2 linked regions of the Anolis sagrei genome follow. Each later gene encodes a partner of the first gene's protein in a complex. Links are inferred from orthologs where the notes say so. Each region holds a gene or a part of one and is shown in the gene's direction. Other genes may lie near its edges. The genes, in order: SIN3B and PHF12.

What was found.
Region 2: the proteins of SIN3B (region 1) and PHF12 are in contact, whole or in part, in a cryo-EM structure (PDB 8BPA), measured with the Homo sapiens proteins. The link is inferred for Anolis sagrei from reciprocal best matches to the Homo sapiens genes SIN3B and PHF12. Residues at the interface, in NP_056075.1 of Homo sapiens: Glu307, Phe311, Leu318, Glu322, Val323, Tyr324, Glu325, Asn326, Leu328, Arg329, Cys330, Ile331, Leu333, Phe334, Asn335, Glu343, Leu347, Pro350, Phe351, Lys354, Phe365, Lys395, Arg396, Glu490, Glu493, Leu494, Val497, Tyr545, Arg546, Ile547; in NP_001028733.1 of Homo sapiens: Leu20, Met21, Gln23, Ile24, Gln25, Leu27, Leu28, Pro30, Pro31, Lys32, Thr33, Asn264, Leu266, Val267, Leu269, Val271, Val273, Phe275, Thr276, Asn278, Arg279, Ser280, Arg282, Cys292, Pro293, Leu294, Pro316, Asn317, His318, Ile319.

What each region holds. Positions count from the first base shown.
Region 1 is NC_090034.1:59,380,904-59,391,687, reverse strand, and holds the start of SIN3B (paired amphipathic helix protein Sin3b), read left to right. Parts: upstream 1-6,231; 5' UTR 6,232-6,246; coding exon 6,247-6,345; intron 6,346-10,784. Other genes in the region: AP1M1 (AP-1 complex subunit mu-1), read left to right, coding at 1,701-1,776, 2,231-2,253.
Region 2 is NC_090031.1:34,605,888-34,615,692, forward strand, and holds the start of PHF12 (PHD finger protein 12), read left to right. Parts: upstream 1-5,632; 5' UTR 5,633-5,905; coding exon 5,906-5,971; intron 5,972-6,073; coding exon 6,074-6,384; intron 6,385-9,805.

The sequences.
Region 1 (10,784 bases):
AATTACACCATATTTAAAATTGTTAAAATACATTCAAAGTTGAGAACACACCATCCAGAGTTCAAGTTCTAAGGCCATTCCAAGGTCAAATTGCACACAATTCTATATTCGGCATACTGCATTGCCCTTGTTTTCAAAAGCCTGCTTCCAGAGCCAGATTTTGACTATCTACGAGGGGTATTTTTTCAGTAAGGTCTGTTTGAACATAAGTACACAACAAAAGTTTATTTCAAAAAAGTAAATTTATTTTCAGAAAGTACATACTTCACTCTATTTTTCGACATAGTTGCCAAGTTTGTTCAAACACTTATCATACCTCTGAACCAATTTTAAAATACCCTCTTCATAAAAACTTGCCGCCTGCTCTGATAACCAAGAGTTCACTGTAATCAAAGAAGGGCGACCAGAGCGGTCCTCATCATGGACGTTGTCACGGCCATCTTTGAATTGTCATACCCACTTGCGCACTTTGCTTTCACTCATAACAGTATCATCACTGTACACTTCACAAATCTGTCGATGAATTTCTGCAGCAGGCAGGTTCCTTGCTGACAAAAACTGTATCACTGAGCGAACCTCACATGCGGAGGGTGAGTTGATAGTCTTAAACATGTTTAAAGCACAGAACAGAACTGTACAGGTTAGCTACAGAGCGGAAACTGAGCACAGTTGTTCCCGAGGCATGCCGGTACACGACACACACGCTCGTTGCGGTATGCGCGCAAACTACTAGTGTCTACAACAAAACGGACCTTACTTAAAAAATACCCCTCGTATAATAATCCCTGCTGCTTTGAGAAAGCTCAGAATATCCTTAAGGATCCATTTCACCTTGGATATTCTTCTTTTTTTTGAATTATTAGCATCTGGCAGATAAGATAGGGTGATTAAAAACAAGGACAGATTGGCCGAGAGAGAGCTTTGATTCTATATTGAACTCTAAGGCTTTCATACTGGTATGACTTTACAGGGTTGTGAAATAGTTATGAGAATGTGGAAGGATGGGTGCTTTGTTTTTGCAGTTCTACATGCAATTGCATGACGTACAATGACAGTAAAGTTCTCCGACCACATCTCCGTCTACAAACCCACACGGTCCCTTCGTTCATCTGGAGAGGCCCTGCTCACGATCCCACCTGCGTCACAAGCGCAGTTGGTGGTGACGAGGGACAGGGCCTTCTCTGTGGTAGCCCCCCGACTCTGGAATACCCTTCCCAAGGACATCAGACAAGCCCCTACATTGGCAGTTTTCAGGAAGAGCTTGAAGACTTGGCTATTCCGGTGTGCCTTTCCAGAATAGGAATCCCAGCAATCATGTCCCAGAAGCACTTTAATAGAGATTTAAGATTGTCTGCACTTTGCACTTACCCTAAATCCCTATATTCCACCTGTCATACCCAGCACTTTTTAATCTGTACCCATTACATTTGGCCCAGCCCTAGTTTTATTGGGTTACTGTGTATTGTTTTATTATTGTACTGTTACTGCTTTAATGTTTCGATTTGCTTTATGATTTATGTGTATTTGTTATATTGTTGTTTTATTGAGGCCTTTGGTCTTTGTAAGCCGCATCAAGTCCTTCGGGAGATGCTAGCGGGGTACAAATAAGGTTAATAATAATAATAAGTTATTATATACTGTTATTATTCTATTCTTTTCTGAAGCACTTGGGGTTGCAATATATCTCCTTCTCTCCTTAGGTCCGCTACTTGAAGATCATCGAGAAGAGCGGCTACCAGGCCTTGCCGTGGGTGCGATACATCACGCAGAACGGAGGTGCGTTGACAACAGAAAAAAGGAAAAGCACAATCAAATCCCTTCCGACAGATGGCCATCCAGCCTCTGTTTCAAAGCCTCCAGGGAAGGAGCTTCCACTGGATTCTGAGGCAGAGAGTTCCACTGTTGAACAGCTTTATGTGTTTTATCTCAGATAACCAAAAATGGTGGTAATGGGTAATATAAGGTGGAACACTATATCTCTAAGTGGGGGGCAGTAGTAAAGTGCAGGGACTGTAAATTGGGGTCATAACTGGGAGCCAGCATTTTTCTGGGGAAATCGTCTAATCAAAAGCACAGTGGAACATATCTTGTAATTTTTATTATATAATAATATAATATAATTAGAATGATTTATTATTATTATTATTATTATTATTATTATTATTATTTTCACGTTTCCTTCAGGAGGGTCTAGCTTTGCTCACTCATCCGTTTTGTCTTTTTTGTCTAGATTACCAGCTACGGACGCAGTAGCATGTGGCCAAAAATAAGTCCCATTCCGGAGTGCGTTTGGTGCTTGGAGGTCTGGGGAAAAGCCCCGTTCAGTGTTGTCCGTCTTAGGAGTAGCTGTTGCCCGGGAAGGAGGCCGGAGCCTTGCAAGTATTAGCCTGAGTATTAGCTCCTTCTCCTCTATAGATGGGGAGGGAGAGAGAGAGAGATCCATGTTGGTGCCTCTTCTTCGTTCGAGCCAATCCCAGGTTGCCATTTCATCCCAGGTTTGCGTGTTATTGTGTTTCGTTTCCCCCCAAAGCAATGGCTTTCTCTCTTTGTGAAGTCCATGCCATGTTTTGCAAACAACTGCCTTAATGCTGGTTTCTTTGAAGGCAGGTTTAGCCCAACCCCAATGTTGCTTCTGTCCCATTATAAGTCTATGGGTTCGAGGTCAGGTTTGGCAACGGTTCACAAACAACCTCATAATTGACCATAACCCTTGTAGCTCGTTGTGTCGGTGTCTCTTCTGAATAAATTTCATTTCTCATGATCCGAACCTTGGCTCCACTTTCATCTGTTTGACGACCTCAGGTATAATATAATGGTATAGTAATATATAATACTGATATTGTACTATGCTAAAAATATGGCAGAGAGATGTCAACTCTGTTGCTAAGAAAAAGATCTATGCCAGTGCAAAAGCTGAGGTCCAAAGGACAAGAGAAGTCAAGAACATCTGGTGGACAAAGAAGGCTGAAGAAATCTGGCAAGACGAAGAAGCCCAATATTCCTAAATAAGTTGAAGAATGTTGCACCATTAAGCTGTATTTCTGGCATTGCAGAGGGATTGGTCGGTGCCTTTTGCTGGAAGATCACTTTGGTTTTCTCAGTGTTCAGTGAGAGCCTGAGCTTCCCATATGCTTCTGCAAAGGTATTTAGAGAGGCATGTAGGTTTTCTTCTGAATGCGCACAGACTACGTTATCATCGGCATATTGGAGTTCTATAACAGATGTTGTGACCTTGGTTTTGGCTTTCAGTGGGCAGAGGTGAAATAGCTGCCACATAGCCATTAGAGGGCATCTTTTAATAGGGAGTGAATAAAGGGCCTGCTTTTCTGCAATGAGACACTAGATGGCGGCCTTGTATACGGCTTGTGTCGGCCTTTCTCAGTATTTATTTGTAGTGTCAGGGCAACCAGTCGATTATATTACATTTCTAACAGAACAAAGCAAACAAACAGACAAAATACAAAATATGTGAGTTTGGTAGTTGATTAAATGTCCTTTGACCAGTATCTGGCCACTTGGAGTGCTTCTGGTGTTGCCGCAAGAAGGTCCTCCATTGTGCATGTGGCAGGGCTCAGGTTGCATTGCAGCAAGTGGTCTGTAGTTTGCTCTTCTCCACACTTGCATGTCGAGGATTCCACTTTGTAGCCCCATTTCTGAAGGTTGGCTCTGCATCTCGTGGTGCCAGAGCGCAGTCTGTTCAGTGCCTTCCAAATCGCCCAGTCTTCTTTGTGCCCAGGGGGGGGGTCTCTCATTTGGTATCAGCCATTGCTTGAGGTTCTGGGTTTGAGCCTGCCACTTTTGGACTCCCGCTTGCTGAGGTGTTCCAGCGAGCGTCTCTGTAGATCTTAGAAAACTATTTCTAGATTTAAGTCGTTGACGTGCTGGCTGATACCCAAACAAGGGATGAGCTGGAGATGTCACTACCTTGGTCCTTTCACTATTGGCTGCTACTTCCCGGCAAATGTCAGGTGGCGCAATACCAGCTAAGCAGTGTAATTTCTCCAGTGGTGTAGGGCGCAGGCACCCCGTGATAATGCGGCATGTCTCATTAAGAGCCACATCCACTGTTTTAGTGTGGTGAGATGTGTTCCACACTGGGCATGCGTACTCAGCAGCAGAGTAGCACAACGCAAGGGCAGATGTCTTCACTGTATCTGGTTGTGATCCCCAGGTTGTGCCAGTCAGCTTTCGTATGATATTGTTTCTAGCACCCACTTTTTGCTTGATATTCAGGCAGTGCTTTTTGTAGGTAAGAGCACTGTCCAGAGTGACTCCCAGGTATTTGGGTGCGCTGCAATGCTCCAGTGGGATTCCTTCCCAGGTGATCCTCAGAGCTCGGGATGCTTCTCTGTTCTTGAGATGAAAAGCACATGTCTGTGTTTTAGATGGGTTGGGGATTATTATTATTATTATTATTATTATTATTATTAAACTTTATTTGTACCCCGCTAATCCCGAAGGATTCGATGTGGCTTACACAGGCCGAGGCCTCAACACACAACATAGCAATACAAACTAGGCAAATCAAACAATTAAAAACAGGATAAAGCAGATAAACAACAGGCAAAAGCAATACACTAAAACACAATAAAAACTGGGCCAGGCCAAAGTAATGGGTACAAGAATTAAAAGTGCTGATGTGACAGGTGGTGTATATGAGTCTTCTAGGGCAAGTGTGATGTGCAGCAGTCATTGGTTCTGATAAGGTGCTTATGGGACTTGGTAGTGGAGATTTCCTAATCTGGGAAGGTGCATCGGAAAAGCCAAGTCTTCAAGTTCTTTCTGAAGACTGCCAGTGTGGGGGCCTGTCTAAGGTCTTTGGGGAGGACCCAGAGTCTGAGGGCCACCACGGAAAAGGCCCTGTCCCGCATCCCCACCAAGCGCGCTTGCGACGCAGGTGGGATCATGAGCAGGGCCTCTCCAGATGACCGAAGTGAGCGTGTGGGTTCGTAGATGGAAATGTGGTCACGCAGGTAAGCTGGTCCCAAACCGTTCAGGGCTTTGTAGGTAAGCACCTGCACCTTAAATTGAGCTCGGAATATAGCCAGTGGAGCTCCTTGAACCGGGCTCAATTCAAAGTGCTGGCGTTGGCCTATAAAGCCCTAAACGGTTCTGGCCCAAGTTACCTATCCGAACGTATCTCTGCCTATGAACCCACCAGGACACTAAGATCTTCTGGGGAGGCCCTGCTCTTGATCCCGCCTGCATCACAAGCAAGGCTGGCGGGGACGAGGGACAGGGCCTTCTCTGTGGTGGCCCCTCGGCTGTGGAACGCCCTTCCCATGGACATTAGATCAGCCCCTTCGCTAATGGTGTTTTGAAGAAAACTAAAAACCTGGCTGTTTGAACAGGCGTTCGGATAAATAGTGCAATGAACACGATGAATATAGGAAACGGAATTATGGATGACGAATTGGATCACGATTTTAGTTACGAGACGTTAATGTGTTGTTATTGAGATGTCATTAGTTTATATTTTATACTGTTAATAGTTTTAATATTGTATGTTGTTGGATTGTCTTTTGCTCTTGTTGTGAACCGCGTTGAGTCGCCTACGGGCTGAGAAACTGCGGTATACAAGCAAAGTAAATAAATAAATTGAACAGGAGGGTTGACCTCTCTCTGTAAGGGGCTCCCGTTAACATCCTTGCTGCTGATCGTTGCACCAGTTGCAACTTCCGAGCTGTCTTCAAGGGCAGCCTCACGTAGAGCGCATTGCAGTAGTCCAGCTGGTTTTCCCTGTAATAGGCAGTAAGAGCTTCGGAAAGCTTCTGTTCTGCCATCTCAAAGCTCCCTGCTTGAGCGGTGATGGCACGATCATCAGCATAGATGAAACTCTCTGTCCCTTCTGGCAGTGGCTGGCCATTTGTGTAGATGTTGAACATGGATGGAGCAAGTAAAGTAGGGTTGGGTCTCCTGATCCTGCATTTCATCACAAACGTCAAGTCTTTCCCTCGCTCGAGAGAAGAGCGGTGTCCTTCACTTCCTGGTCCCTTCCTTTGGCCGCTCTGCGCCGCAACTCTATGCCCCCCCCCCCCCCCCTCAGCCGCGCGCCTATTTGTTTGGCCGCTCTTTCTGCGCTGTACCCTCTTCCGGTCCGGTTCCTTTTTCCCTTCCGGGCGGGTGCTTCTTCCCGAAGCGCGAAGGTTCCGCTTTGGCCCCACCTCCCCGAGCGCGGTGACGCAAAAGGCGGAGGAAGGAAAGAAGGAAGGAAGGAGGGAGGGAAGGAGGGAGGGAGCGAGGGACATGGCGGCGGGGGGCGGCGGCCGAGCGGGTCCGCGCTTGGGGGGCCGGGCAGCCACAGCAGCAAACGGGGGGCCCACCGGGGAGAAGCTTCCTGTCCACGTAAGTAAGATGAGGGGGGGAAGGGGGGGAGGAGAGGGAGAGGAGAAGTTGGGGGTTGGGAAGAAAAGCCCCTCCCAATCCTCGAATATTGGGGAGGGGGTCCTTTAACCCCCTCTCCCCCTTTTGCCCCCCTTTTGGGGGGGTTGCAAAACGCCCAATAAACTGGGTAGAATGAATGTATGGAACATATATCTCTATCTCTATCTATCTATCAATCCATCTTTCAGACCATCTATCTCTATCTATCTATCTATCTATCTATTTGACTGAAGACCGACAGGTCGCAGGTTCGAATCCGGGGAGAGGCGGATGAGCTCCCTCTGTCAGCTCCAGCTCCCCATGCGGGGACAGGAGAGAAGCCTTCCACAAGGATGATAAAAACATCAAAATCATCCCCTGGGCAACGTCCTTGCAGACAGTCAATTCTCTCACGCCAGAAGCGACTTGCAGTTTCTCAGGTCGCTCCTGACACGACAAAAAAAAATTATCTGACTATCTATCAGACCATAGATACTATCAGATACACAGATACTATCTATCACTATATCTATCTATCTATCTATATTGATCTATCTGACAAAAAAAAATCTATCTGACTATCAGGCCATAGATACTATCTATCAGACTATATCTCTATCTATCTATCTCTATCGATCTATCTATCTGACAAAAAAAAAATCTATCTGACTATCTATCAGACCATAGATACTATCAGATACATAGATACTATCTATCAGACTATATCTATCTCTATATCGATCTATCTATCTCTATCGATCTATCTATCTGACAAAAAAAAAATCTATCTGACTATCTATCAGACCATAGATACTATCAGATACATAGATACTATCTATCAGACTATATCTATCTCTATATCGATCTATCTATCTCCTATCTATCTGACAAAAAAAAATCTATCTGACTATCTATCAGACCATAGATACTATCAGATACATAGATACTATCTATCAGACTATATCTATCTCTATATCGATCTATCTATCTCTATCGATCTATCTATCTGACAAAAAAAATCTATCTGACTATCAGACCATAGATACTATCAGATACATAGATACTATCTATCAGACTATATCTATCTCTATCTATCTATATCGATCTATCTATCTCTATCGATCTATCTATCTGACAAAAAAATACCTATCTGACTATCAGACCATAGATACTATCAGATACATAGATACTATCTATCAGACTTATCTATCTATCTCTATCGATCTATCTCTATCTATCTATCTATCTATCTGACAATCTATCTATCAGACCATCATCAGTCCGAAGACCAAAATTTGCTTGAAGTCCCCAACATCCGGACTTACCATCTGTCCTCTGCTAGGCAGAGACCCTTCTCGATTGTGGCCCCTTATTTATGGAAGGCCTTGCCAGTTGAAACCCGAACCATCCGAGAGCTACTTGCTTTTCGGAAAGCCTGTAAAACCTTTCTTTTCCGACAAGCTTTCAATGGGTGAATAACTCGGGACTGTGTCTGTTCTCGTTTTTATTGTATTTTGAGGTTGGTTGTATTGTTTTAATCTACTGCTATAAACCACTCCGAGCCAAATTGGGGGTGGCGGTATACAAGCCTAATAAATAAATAAATAAATAAATCTACATTTATCTATCTGACTATCAGACCATCAATCTATCTATATCTATCCGTCTATCTGAGTATCTATATCTATCTACCTGACTATCAGACCATCAATCTATCTATCTATCTATATCTATCTATCTATCTATCTATCTATCTATCTATCTATCAGACCATCTATCTATATCTATCTATCAGACCATCAATATATATATATATATATATATATATATATATATATATATCTGACTATCTATCAGACCATCAATTTATCTATATCTATCTATCTATCTATCTATCTATCTATCTGACAATCTATCTATCAGACCATCAATTTATCTATATCTATCCGTCTATCTGACTATCTATATCTATCTATCTATCTATCTATCTGACTATCTATCTATCAGACCATCTATCTCTATCTATCTATCTATCTATCTATCTGACTATCTATCACAGTGGTTCTCAACCTGGGGTCCCCAGATGTTTTTGGCCTACAACTCCCAGAAATCCTAGCCAGTTTACCAGCTGTTAGGATTTCTGGGAATTAAAGGCCAAAAACATCTGGGGACCCCAGGTTGAGAACCACTGATCTATCAGATCATCAATTTATCTATATCTGTCAGTCTATCTGATTATCTATCTATATCTATCTATCTGACTATCTATCAGACCATCAATTTATCTATATCTATCTGTCTGACTATCTATCTATATTTATCTATCAGACCATCTATCTATATCTATCTATCTATCTATCTATCTATCTCAGCCTTTCTAATGCCACGACCCCTGAATATAGTTCCTCATGTTGTGGTGAACCCCAACCATAAACATATTTTCGTTGCTACTTCATAACTCTCATTTTGCTATTGTTATGAATCGTCATGTAAATATCTGATATGCAGGATGTATTTTCATTCACTGGACCAAATTTGGCACAAATATCCAATATACCCAAATTTGAATACTAGTGGGGTGGGAGAGGATTGATTTTTTCATTTGGGAGTTGTCGTTGCTGGGATTTATAGTTCACCTACAGTCAAAGAGTATTCTGAACCCCACCAACGATGAAATTAAACCAGACTTGACACACAGAACTCCCATGACCCACAGAAAATACTAGAAGGGTTTGGTGGGCATTGACCTTGAGTTTTGGAGTTGTAGTTTGCCTCCATCCAGAGAGCATTGTGGACTCAAACAGTGATGGATCTGGATCAAACTTGGCATGGATACTCAATATGCCCAGATGTGGAGGAGTTTGCGGAAAATAGACCTTGCCATTTGGCCATTGTAGTTGCTGGGATTTAGAGTTCACCTACAGTGAAAGAGCATTTTGAACCCCACCAATGATAGAATTTGGCCAATCTTGGCACACAGAACCCCCATGTTTTGAAGGGACTCGCTGGCGTGAGCCTCCCTCCAGGCTCGCATGCTCTCCCTCACCCGCACATTCACACCACACTGCCATGTGCCGAGCACGCCTGCTCTCCCCTCTCCCGGCTTGGAGTCTCAGAAACAGCCCTCCCCTTGGCTGAGAGGCTGGCGAATCACAGCAGAGGAGAGCTTTTGGTAGGGGGATTCGCTGTCTGTTTCCAAAAAGGAAGAGAAGGACAGGTGAAAAATCTTCTGCTTTCTCTGCCAAAGGGGATCCTAAGACCATTGGAAATATATGTTTTCTGGTTGTCTTTGGCAACCCCTCTGGAAACCCCCTCGCGACCCCCCCCCCCCCCCGTAGGGGTCCCGACCTCCAGGTTGAGAAATGCTGATCTAGCACTTATATCATGTCCATTTATATCAGGCCTGGGCAAACTTGGGCCCTCCCTCCTTCTCTCCAGGTGTTTTGGGCTCCAACTCCCACCATTCCTCAGAGCCTCAGGCCCCTTCCTTTCCCCCCTCAGCCACTTAAGCGCAAAGGTAAGAAAGGAAAGGGACTGAGGCTGTTAGGAATTGTGGAAGTTGAAGTACAAAACACCTGGAGGGAGAAAGGGCCCAAGTTTGCCCAGGTCTAGTCTATATCTATAGTAGGGATGTGCGATCTATTAAAAATGGTATAAATACTATAATTGGGGAAACTCCAGGAGCTCGTTTCTTCCTCATTTTGAAAGCTATTGGAGTGAAACTTGCTACAATGGTAGAACCTGCTTACCCCAGTTAGCCTACCAAATTTCAGAATATTTCACTAATCCACAGATTTTTGGGGAATTTTAAAAAGATTTTATAAACAGCACTTAAAAAAAACTACAAGAGCTATCTACTTGGATTTTTTATACAATGCACAAGATAACCAGGGCATCAATCCCTAGAACAGGAGCCCCCGGTGGTACAATGGGTTTAACCATTGTGCCAACAGAACTGAAGACCGACAGGTTGGAGGTTCAAATCCGGGGAGAGTGCAGATGAGCTCCCTCTGTCAGCTCCAGCTCCCCATGCGGGGACATGAGATAAGCCTCCCACAAGGATGGTAAAACATCAAAACACCCGGGTGTAACCCTGGACAACATCCTTGCAGATAGCCAATTCTCTCACACCAGAGGTGACTTGCAGTTTCTCAAGTTGTTCCTGACATTGGAAAAAGATCCCCAGAACTTTCAGAAAGATTCATAGATATACAGACTTTTGGGGATTTTTAAAAGTTCATACAGAAACAATTCCCCCCCCCCCCCCAAAAAAAAGCAACCCCAGCAACCACATTGGATACCTGCCTGTCTTTATGACACACAACCCACAGAACTCGGAGGTTCAAATCCGGGGAGAGTGCAGATGAGCTCCCTCTGTCAGCTCTAGCTCTCCGTGTGGGGACATGAGAGAAGCCTCTCAC
Region 2 (9,805 bases), on another chromosome or scaffold:
TCCGAAGCGGCAAGGGTTGGGGTGGGAGCCGGCCTTTTGGATCGTTTCATGAATAAAGCAGTGTTTTAGAAGACCCCCTCGCTCGCCTGTCGTTCTTTCCCTTCCCCTCGAGGCTGAGATGATGTGACTCCTGAAGGTCGCCCAAGGAGTCCAAGCCAGGCCACATCATGACGTCCCATCTTCCACTGCTCTCTGGTCTGCAGAATGGGATTTGTTGTACTGCTCTACACGGCAGGGTTGGCATGTCCGTCCCTCCACCTGGAATACCAATGGGTTTGAAAACAAAGGGTTGGTGTTGGTTGGCCCTGACCTGTAGGAAGATCGGAAAATTTATTATTATTGCTGGTACTATTATATTCTAATATTTTATTTATATTGTTTTATTATTCTATATAATTACACTGTATGATATTTTATATTTTTTATTATTATCCTAAATATTTATATAACATTTTATATTAATTTATTATTATTCTATGGGATTACATTTTATATTATTTTATGGCTGTTACTATTATATTCTAATATTTTATTTATATTGTTTTATTATTCTATATAATTACATTATATTATATTTTATATTATTTTATTGTTATCGTACTTAATTATATAATATTTTATATTAATTTATTATTGTTCTATGGACGTATACGTTATATTATTATGCTATATAATTATATTATATATTTTATATTATATTATATATTTTATGTTATATTATTTTATATCATTTTATTATTGTTATCCTAAATAATTATATAACATTTTATATTAATTTATTATTATTCTATGGGATTATATTTTATATTATTTTTCTATATAATTATATTATATATTACATATAATATAATATATATTATATTATATTATATCATTTTATTATTGTTATCCTAAACAATTATATGATATTTTGTATTAATGTATTATTATTCTATGGAAATATACATTATATTATATAATATTTTACATTATTTTATTGTTATCCTAAATAATTATATAATATTTAATATTAATTTATTATTATTCTATGAGATTATTTTATATTATATTTTATATTATTATTCTATATAATTATATTTTATATTATTTTATTAATATTTTATTAATTATTTTATTGATATTTAATATTAATGTATCATTATTTTATATTATTTTTCTATATAATTATATTATATTTTTATATTATATTATATATTTTATATTATTTTATATCATTTTATTATTGTTATCCTAAATAATTATATGATGTTTTGTATTAATTTATTCTTATTCTATGGAAATATACATTATATTATATAATATTTTACATTATTTTACTGTTATCCTAAATAATTATATAATATTTAATAATATTTTTTTATTATTCTATGAGATTATTTTATATTATATTTTATATTATTATTCTATATAATTATATTTTATATTATTTTATTGATATTTTATTAATTATTTTATTGATATTTAATATTAATGTATCATTATTTTATATTATTTTTCTATATAATTATATTATATTTTTATATTATATTATATATTTTATATTATTTTATATCATTTTATTATTGTTATCCTAAATAATTATATGATATTTTGTATTAATTTATTATTATTCTATGGAAATATACATTATATTATATAATATTTTACATTATGTTATTGTTATCCTAAATAATTATATAACATTTTATATTAATTTATTATTATTCTACGGGATTACATTTTATATTATTTTTCTATATAATTATATTATATATTTTATATTATATTATATATTTTATTTTATATTATATTATTTTATATCTTTTTATTATTGTTATCCTAAATAATTATATGATATTTAATATTAATTTATTTTTTTCCTATGGAAATATACATTATATTATTATTCTATATAATTATATTGTATATTATTTTATTGTTATCCTAAATAATTATATAAAATTTTATATTAATTTATTGTTATTCTATGGGATTATATTTTATATTAATTTTCTATATAATTATATTTTATATTATTTTATTGATATCCTACTTAATTATATAACATTTAATATTAATTTATTATTATTCAATGGGATTATATTTTATATTATTATTCTATATAATTATATTATTTTTATATTATTTTATGGTTATCCTAAATAATTATATAACATTTTATATTAATTTATTATTATTCTATGGGATTATATTTTATATTATTGTTCTATATAATTACATTATATATTTTATATTATTTTATTGTTATCCTAAATAATTGCTACATATTAATTTATTCTATATAATTATATGATATAGTTTATATTATTTTATTATTATTCAAAATGATATATTTTTATTAATTTATTATTATTCATATAATTATATTATATATTAACTTATTTTTATTCTATATTATTCCATTTTATTATTAATCTGTATAATTACATTATATTACGTATTAATTTACATGTTATATTATATATTTATTATTATTCTATGTAATTATATTACATAATTCTTTTTACAATTTACTATAATAATTATATTATTATATTATTATTTTATTTTTTATTATTATTTTATTATTCTATATGATTATATAATATTTTGGCAATTTAGCATTAATGCTATTATTATTATTACAATATATTACGTATTAATTTACATGTTATATTATATATTACTTTATTATTATTATTCTATATAATTATATTACATAATTTGTTTTACAATTTACTATTATTCATTTATTATATTATTATTTTATTTGTATTATTATTTTATTATTCTATATGATTATATAATATTTTGGCAATTTAGCATTAATGCTATTACTATTATTATTACATTATATTACGTATTAATTTACATGTTATATTATATATTACTTTATTATTATTATTCTATATAATTATATTACATAATTTGTTTTACAATTTACTATTATTCATTTATTATATTATTATTTTATTTTTATTTTTATTTTATTATTGTATATGATTATATAATATTTTGGCAATTTAGCATTAATGCTATTATTATTATTCTATTCTATTATTATTCTATTCTATTATTCTATTATTTTATATCATTATTAGTGTTTATTACTATATAGATCTCGCAGAGGTGTGAACAGAACCGGAAGCATCCATCGCGAACACAATTGCCGTTCCCCTCGACCCATTAGCCCGCTCAGTTATATTTTTTTTTTCCTGCGCGTGCGCTGTCTGCGCCCCGGCGGGGGAGCTTTCTGCGCACGCGCGAACGGCAAAGAAGCCCATTCTTTGCGAAGGGAGGGGAAGAAGAAACAGTCCAGCTGCGCGCGTGCGCACTAGCAACGCGCGGAGGGGTAGAACGCGCATGCGCAGAAGGGACCCTGAAAGGAGAGAGTGGGGAAAGGGCGGGAAACTACATTTGTACACACACACACACACACACACATGTATATATTCATATTTTACATATATTAAAGGAAGAATAAAGAGATAAAAACTAGATATAGACCTCATATTATTAAATACAGATGTGTATATATTTGTTGTTCATTCGTTCAGCCGTATTTTAATAATAAAATAGCATGTAATTAAAAATTAATATGTATTGTAATTATTTTGAATCATAATAAATATATAATATTATATAATTATTTGGAATAATAAAATAAAATATATGACCTCATGGACCAGTCCACGCCAGAGCTCCCTGTTGGCCGTCACCACCCCCAGCTCCTTCAAGTATATTGTATATTGTATATACACACAAACAGTATATGCATATATACATACATATATACTAGATAGTATACACATATAGTACACATAGTATACACACATAGTACACACACATGTATACACACATATAGTAACACACATGTATATACACACACATTTAGTAAGCACACAGTACACAAACATACACACATATAGTACATATAGTATACACATATAATATACAAATATATAATATGCACACATATAGTACGCACACATATAGTGTAAACATATATAGTATGCATACATATGCATATATATACAATATACTATACACACATAGTATACACACATATATAGTACACCCACATAGTACACACACATAGTATAAGCACATATAGTATCCACATATGTACAATATAGTATACACATATAGTATCCACACATACATAGTACACACACATAGTATAAGCACATATAGTATCCACATATGTACAATATAGTATACACATGTAGTATCCACACATACATAGTACACACACATATAGTGTAAACATATATACTATACACACATATGCACATATATACAATATAGTATACGCATATAGTATACACACATATATAGTACATACATATAGTACACACACATAGTATAAGCATATATAGTATACACATATGTACAATATAGTATACGCATATAGTATACACACATATATACGATATAGTATACACATGTAGTATCCACACATACATAGTACACACACATATAGTATAAACATATATAATATACACATATATACGATATAGTATACACATGTAGTATCCACACATACATAGTACACACACATATAGTATAAACATATATAATATACACATATATATGATATAGTATACACATATAGTACACATAGTATACACAAATATAGTACGCACACATATGTATACACAGTACACGCACATATATAGTACATATAGTATCCACACATATATAGTACACACATATAGCACACACACATATAGTATAAACATATATAGTATAAACACATATAGTATACACATATAGTATATATTTATTTGTTTATTACATTTCTACTCCCCTTTCTCACTCCGTAGGGGACTCAAAGCACATATAGTACACATATAGTATGTACACATATAGTACACATACATATAGTATACACACATATTTGTTGTTCATTCGTTCAGTCGTCTCCGATTCTTCGTGACCTCATGGACCAGCCCACGCATATATACTATACTATATATAATATACTATATACACACATATAGTATATTATTATTATAGTATATTATTATATATAGTATACACATAGTATACAGATATAGCATACACATATATTGTGTACACACATCTATACATATCAATGTATAGAAATGTGTGTGTTTTTGCATATATATATATATGTCTATCTCTAGATAAATAGATTAGATAGATTAGATAGATTGATAGATAGATTAGATAGATAGATTAGATAGATATAGATAAATTAGATAGATTAGATAGATTGATTGATAGATAGATTAGATAGATAGATTAGATAGATTAGATTAGATAAATTAGATAGATAGATTAGATAGATAGATAGATAGATAGATTAGATAGGAAGATAGATAGACACACACACGCAGAAAAATTCTTATTTCAAAGATGTCAAATGAGCGAGCGGGCAACAGCGCATGCGTCGAAAAAAGCGGGCGGCCCTGCGCCTGCGCAGAGAGGGAGGCCAGTGCGTCTCGAGCGCAAAGAAGGGGAGGGGCGGGGATGAGGAGAAGAAGAAGAAGAAAGAGAGGCGGGGCGGAAAGGGAGGAAACGGCGCATGCGCTGTTTCCTCTCGCAGCCCTCCCTCCTTTCCCCGTCACAACGAACGAAGCGGGTGGCTTGGGCTAGTCGGCGCCTGCGCGGTGGCCGCCCTGTGCTACGCGCATGCGCTGTGTCGGGAAGGCGAAGTGCGCCTGCGCGGCGAGGGCTGTGACGGCGGCGGCGGCGGGGCCCTGTGTGTGAGGGGGAGGCGACGGCGGTGAAGAGTGGAGAGTGATCCCCTCAGGCCCGGCGGGAGAGGAGGAGGAGAAAGAGGGAGCCCGGGCGTCGCCGCCCCCTGTCATGGCCGGGACGAGGCCTAGTCGGCGGGCGGAGAAGAAGGAGGCGAAGGCGGCGAAGGAGGAGGAGGCGTCGCCCCTCAGCTAGGCCTCGGATGTGGGAGAGGATGGAGGCCAAGACGGTCGTCTACGACCTCGACACTTCGGGGGGCCTCATGGAGGTGGGTCAGTCAGGGAGGCAGTCAGGGAGTGAGGGGAACCCTACCCCCCTTCTTTCTCCCTTCTCTCCCCTCACCTTCTCTCTCTCCCTCTTTCTCCCTCAGCAAATCCAGGCCCTCCTGGCGCCTCCCCGCAGCGACGACGCCGCCTTGCTCGGGACCGAGAAGAGGAGCCGCAGGACAGAGCGAGGAGGAGGCGGGGAGCCCCACCATCACCACCCCCAGCACCACCACCACCAGCAGCATCACCATCACCACCCCCAGCACCACCACTCCTCCTCCTCCGCCTCCGCCGCTGCCTCGGCCCAGAGGAGGAGCGGGAGGGCCACCAACCACGACAGCTGCGACAGCTGCAAGGAAGGCGGGGACCTGCTCTGCTGCGACCACTGCCCCGCCGCCTTCCACCTCCAGTGCTGGTCAGTCCCCTCCCCTCTACCCTCCTCTTCCCTTCCCCCTCTCCAAGCTCCCTCCCCCCCCCTCAAGATTATTATTGTGTTTATTTACACGCCTCAAAGGGGAACCCCCCCTTCCCTGTCCTCTTCTCCCCTTCCTTTTAATATTATTGTATTTATTTACACACCTCAAAGGGGACCCCCTTCCCACTCCCTCCATCTATCCCTCCTTCTCTCCTCTTTCTCCCTTCCCACTTTCCTCTCTTCCAAGCTCCCCCCCTCAAGATTATTATTGTATTTACATACCTCAAAGGGGACCCCCCTTCCCACTCCTTCTCTTCATTCCCCTCTCCTCTCTTACCCTTCCCACTCCCTCCCTCTCCTCTCTTCCAAGCTCCATCCCCCCCCCTCTTCCTCTTCTCACCTTCCTTCCAATATTATTATTGTGTTTATTTACACACCTCAAAGGGGTCCCCCTTCCCACCCCCTCCATCCATCCACCCCTCTCCTTCTCTTCCAAGCTCCATTCCCTCCCTCTTCCTCCCTACCCTTCAATATTATTATTGTATTTACACACCTCAAAGGGGAACCCCCCCCTTCCCACTCCCTCCCTCTCCTCTCTTCCAAGCTCCATTTCCCCCCCCTCTCTCCCTCTTCCCTTCAATATTACTGTTGTATTTATTTGCACACCTCAAAGGGGACCCATCCCACTCCATCCATCTATCCCTTCTCTTCTCTTCCAGGCTCCATGTTGCCCCTCTCTCCCTCTTCTCCCCTTCCATTATTATTATTATTTTGTTTATTTACACACCTCAAAGGGGAACCCCCCCCCTTCCCATTCCCTCCCTCCCTCCCTCCCTCTCTTTCCTCCATTCCCCTCTCCTCTCTTCCAAGCTCCATTTTGCCCCTTGCTCCTTCTTCCCCCTTCCCCTCAATATTATTATTGTGTTTATTTACACATCTCAAAGGGGAACCCCCCTCCCCACTCCCTCCATCTATCCCTCTCCTTCTCTTCTCTTTCTCCCTTCCCACTCTCCTCTCTTCCTCTCTTCCAAGCTCCCTTCCCCCCTCCCTCAAGGTTATTATTGTGTTTATTTACACGCCTCAAAGAGGACCCCCTTCCCACTCCCTTCATCCATCCCTCTCTCTTTCTCTTCTCTTCCTCCCTTCCCACTCTCCACTCTTCCAAGCTTCCTTCCCCCCTCCCTCAAGATTATTATTGTATTTATATACACACCTCAAAGGCAACCCCCCTTCCCAATCCCTCCCTCCCTCTCTCTTCCAAGCTCCATTTTGCCCCTTGCTCCTTCTTCCCCCTTCCCCTCAATATTATTATTGTGTTTATTTACATACCTCAAAGGGGACCCCCTTTCCCACTCCATCCATCCATCCATCCCTCTCCTCTTCCTCACTTCCCCTCAATATCATTAAAGTGGTGTGTAAGCAAATATATTATTATTATTACACCCCACTTTATCAACTCACTTTATCAACTTTATCAACCCACTTTATCAACTCCCCCATCCCACTCACTCCATCAATCCATCCCTCTCTTTTTCTTCTCTTCCTCCATTCCCCTCTCCTCTCTTCCAAGCTCCCTTCCCCCCCTTCCTCAAGATTATTATTGTGTTTATTTACACACCACAAAGGGGACCCCCCTTCCCTCTCCTTCTCTTCCTCCATTCCCCTCTCCTTCTCTTCCAAGCTCCATTTTGCCTGTCTCAACCTCTTCTCCCCTTCCTTCCAATATTATTATTGTATTTATTTACACACCTCAAAGGGGACCCCCCCTCCTCTTCCTCCCTTCCCATTCTCCACTCTTACAAGCTCTGTTCCCCCCTCTTCCCTCCTTCCCCTCAATATTATTATTGTATTTATTTACACACCTCAAAGGGGAACCCCCCTTCCCACTCCCTCCATCTATCCCTCTCCTTCTCTTCTCTTTCTCCCTTCCCCCTCTCCTCTCTTCCAAGCTCCATTTCCCCCCTCTCTCCCTTTTGTCCCCTTCCCTTCAATATTATTATTGTGTTTATTTACACACCACAAAGGAACCCCCCCCCTTCCCACTCCCTCCATCCACCCCTCTCCTTCTCTTCCGTTCCTCCATTACCTTCTCCTCTCTTCCAAGCTCCATTTTGCCCCTCTCCCCCTCTTCCCTTCAATGTTGTTAAAGTGGTGTGTAAACAAACTTATTATGATTGTTGTTATTATATTTGTTTACACACCACTTTATCAACCCAAAGGGGACCCCTTCCCATTCCCTTCATCCAGCCATCTTTCCCTTCTTTTCCTCCATTCCCCCCTTTCTCTCCCCAACAACTTTTCACCCAGATCCCCCTCATCCTACCTTCCCTTTCCTTTCCTTTCTCATCCCTTCTTTTCTCTTCCTCCCTTCCACCTTTCCACTCTTCCAAGATCCATTTCGCCCATATCTCCCTCTTCCTCCATTCCCTTCAATATTATTATTATTATTATTATTATTAATAATAATAATAATAATAATAATAATAATAGAGGTAGTAGTGGTAGTATTATGCTTGTTTACACACCACTTTATCAACTCAAAGGGGACCCCCCTTTCGCTTCATCCATCCATCCTTCGCCTTCCGCTCTTTTCCTCTATTCTCTCCATTTTCTCCCCAACACCTTTTCACCCAGATCCTACCTTCCCTTCCCTTCTCCCTCCTTTCTCTTCCTTTCCCTTCCCTTCCTCCACTCCTGCTCTCCACTCTTCCAAGATCCATTTCACCCTAGTCCCTTTGGGGAGATGATTGCAGGATATAACAATATACTTGTTATTATTCTTATTATCATCGCTCCCTCTTCCTACCCTTCCTTCACCCCTTCCTTTCTCTTCTCTTCTTTTCACTTTCTCCGCTCTTCCAAGCTCAATTTTGCCCATCTCCCCCTCTTCCTTCCCTTCATCCATCCTTCAATCCACCCCCTTTCTTTCTCTTCTTTTCTTCCTCTGTTCCGTACTCCCTCTCCTCTTCTCTTTCCCTTCCTTTCCTTTCCCTGCTTTTCCTCCTTTCCCCCTCTCCTTTCTTCCAAACTCTGTTTCACCCATCTCCCTCTTCCTACCTTCTTTCTCTTCATTCCTCGTCTTCACTCTTCCAAGCTCCATTTCGCTCAAGTCCCTTTGGGGACACGGTGGCAGGATAGAAGAATATAGCTGTTGTTATTATTATCTCTCCTTTCTTCCTACCCTCTCTTCGCCCCATCCTCTCCCTTCTTTTCACTTCCTCCATTTCCTACCTTCTCTTCATCCATCCATGCATCCATCCTTTCCCTTCTCTTCTTTTCCTCCCTTCCCCCTCTCCTCCTCTCTTCACTCCCCAATGCCTTTTCACCCATGTCCCCTCATCCTACCTTCCCTTTATCACTCCCCTCCCTTCCTTTCATCTCTTCCTTTTTCACCCCTTCCTTTTCCTTCCCTTCTTTTTCT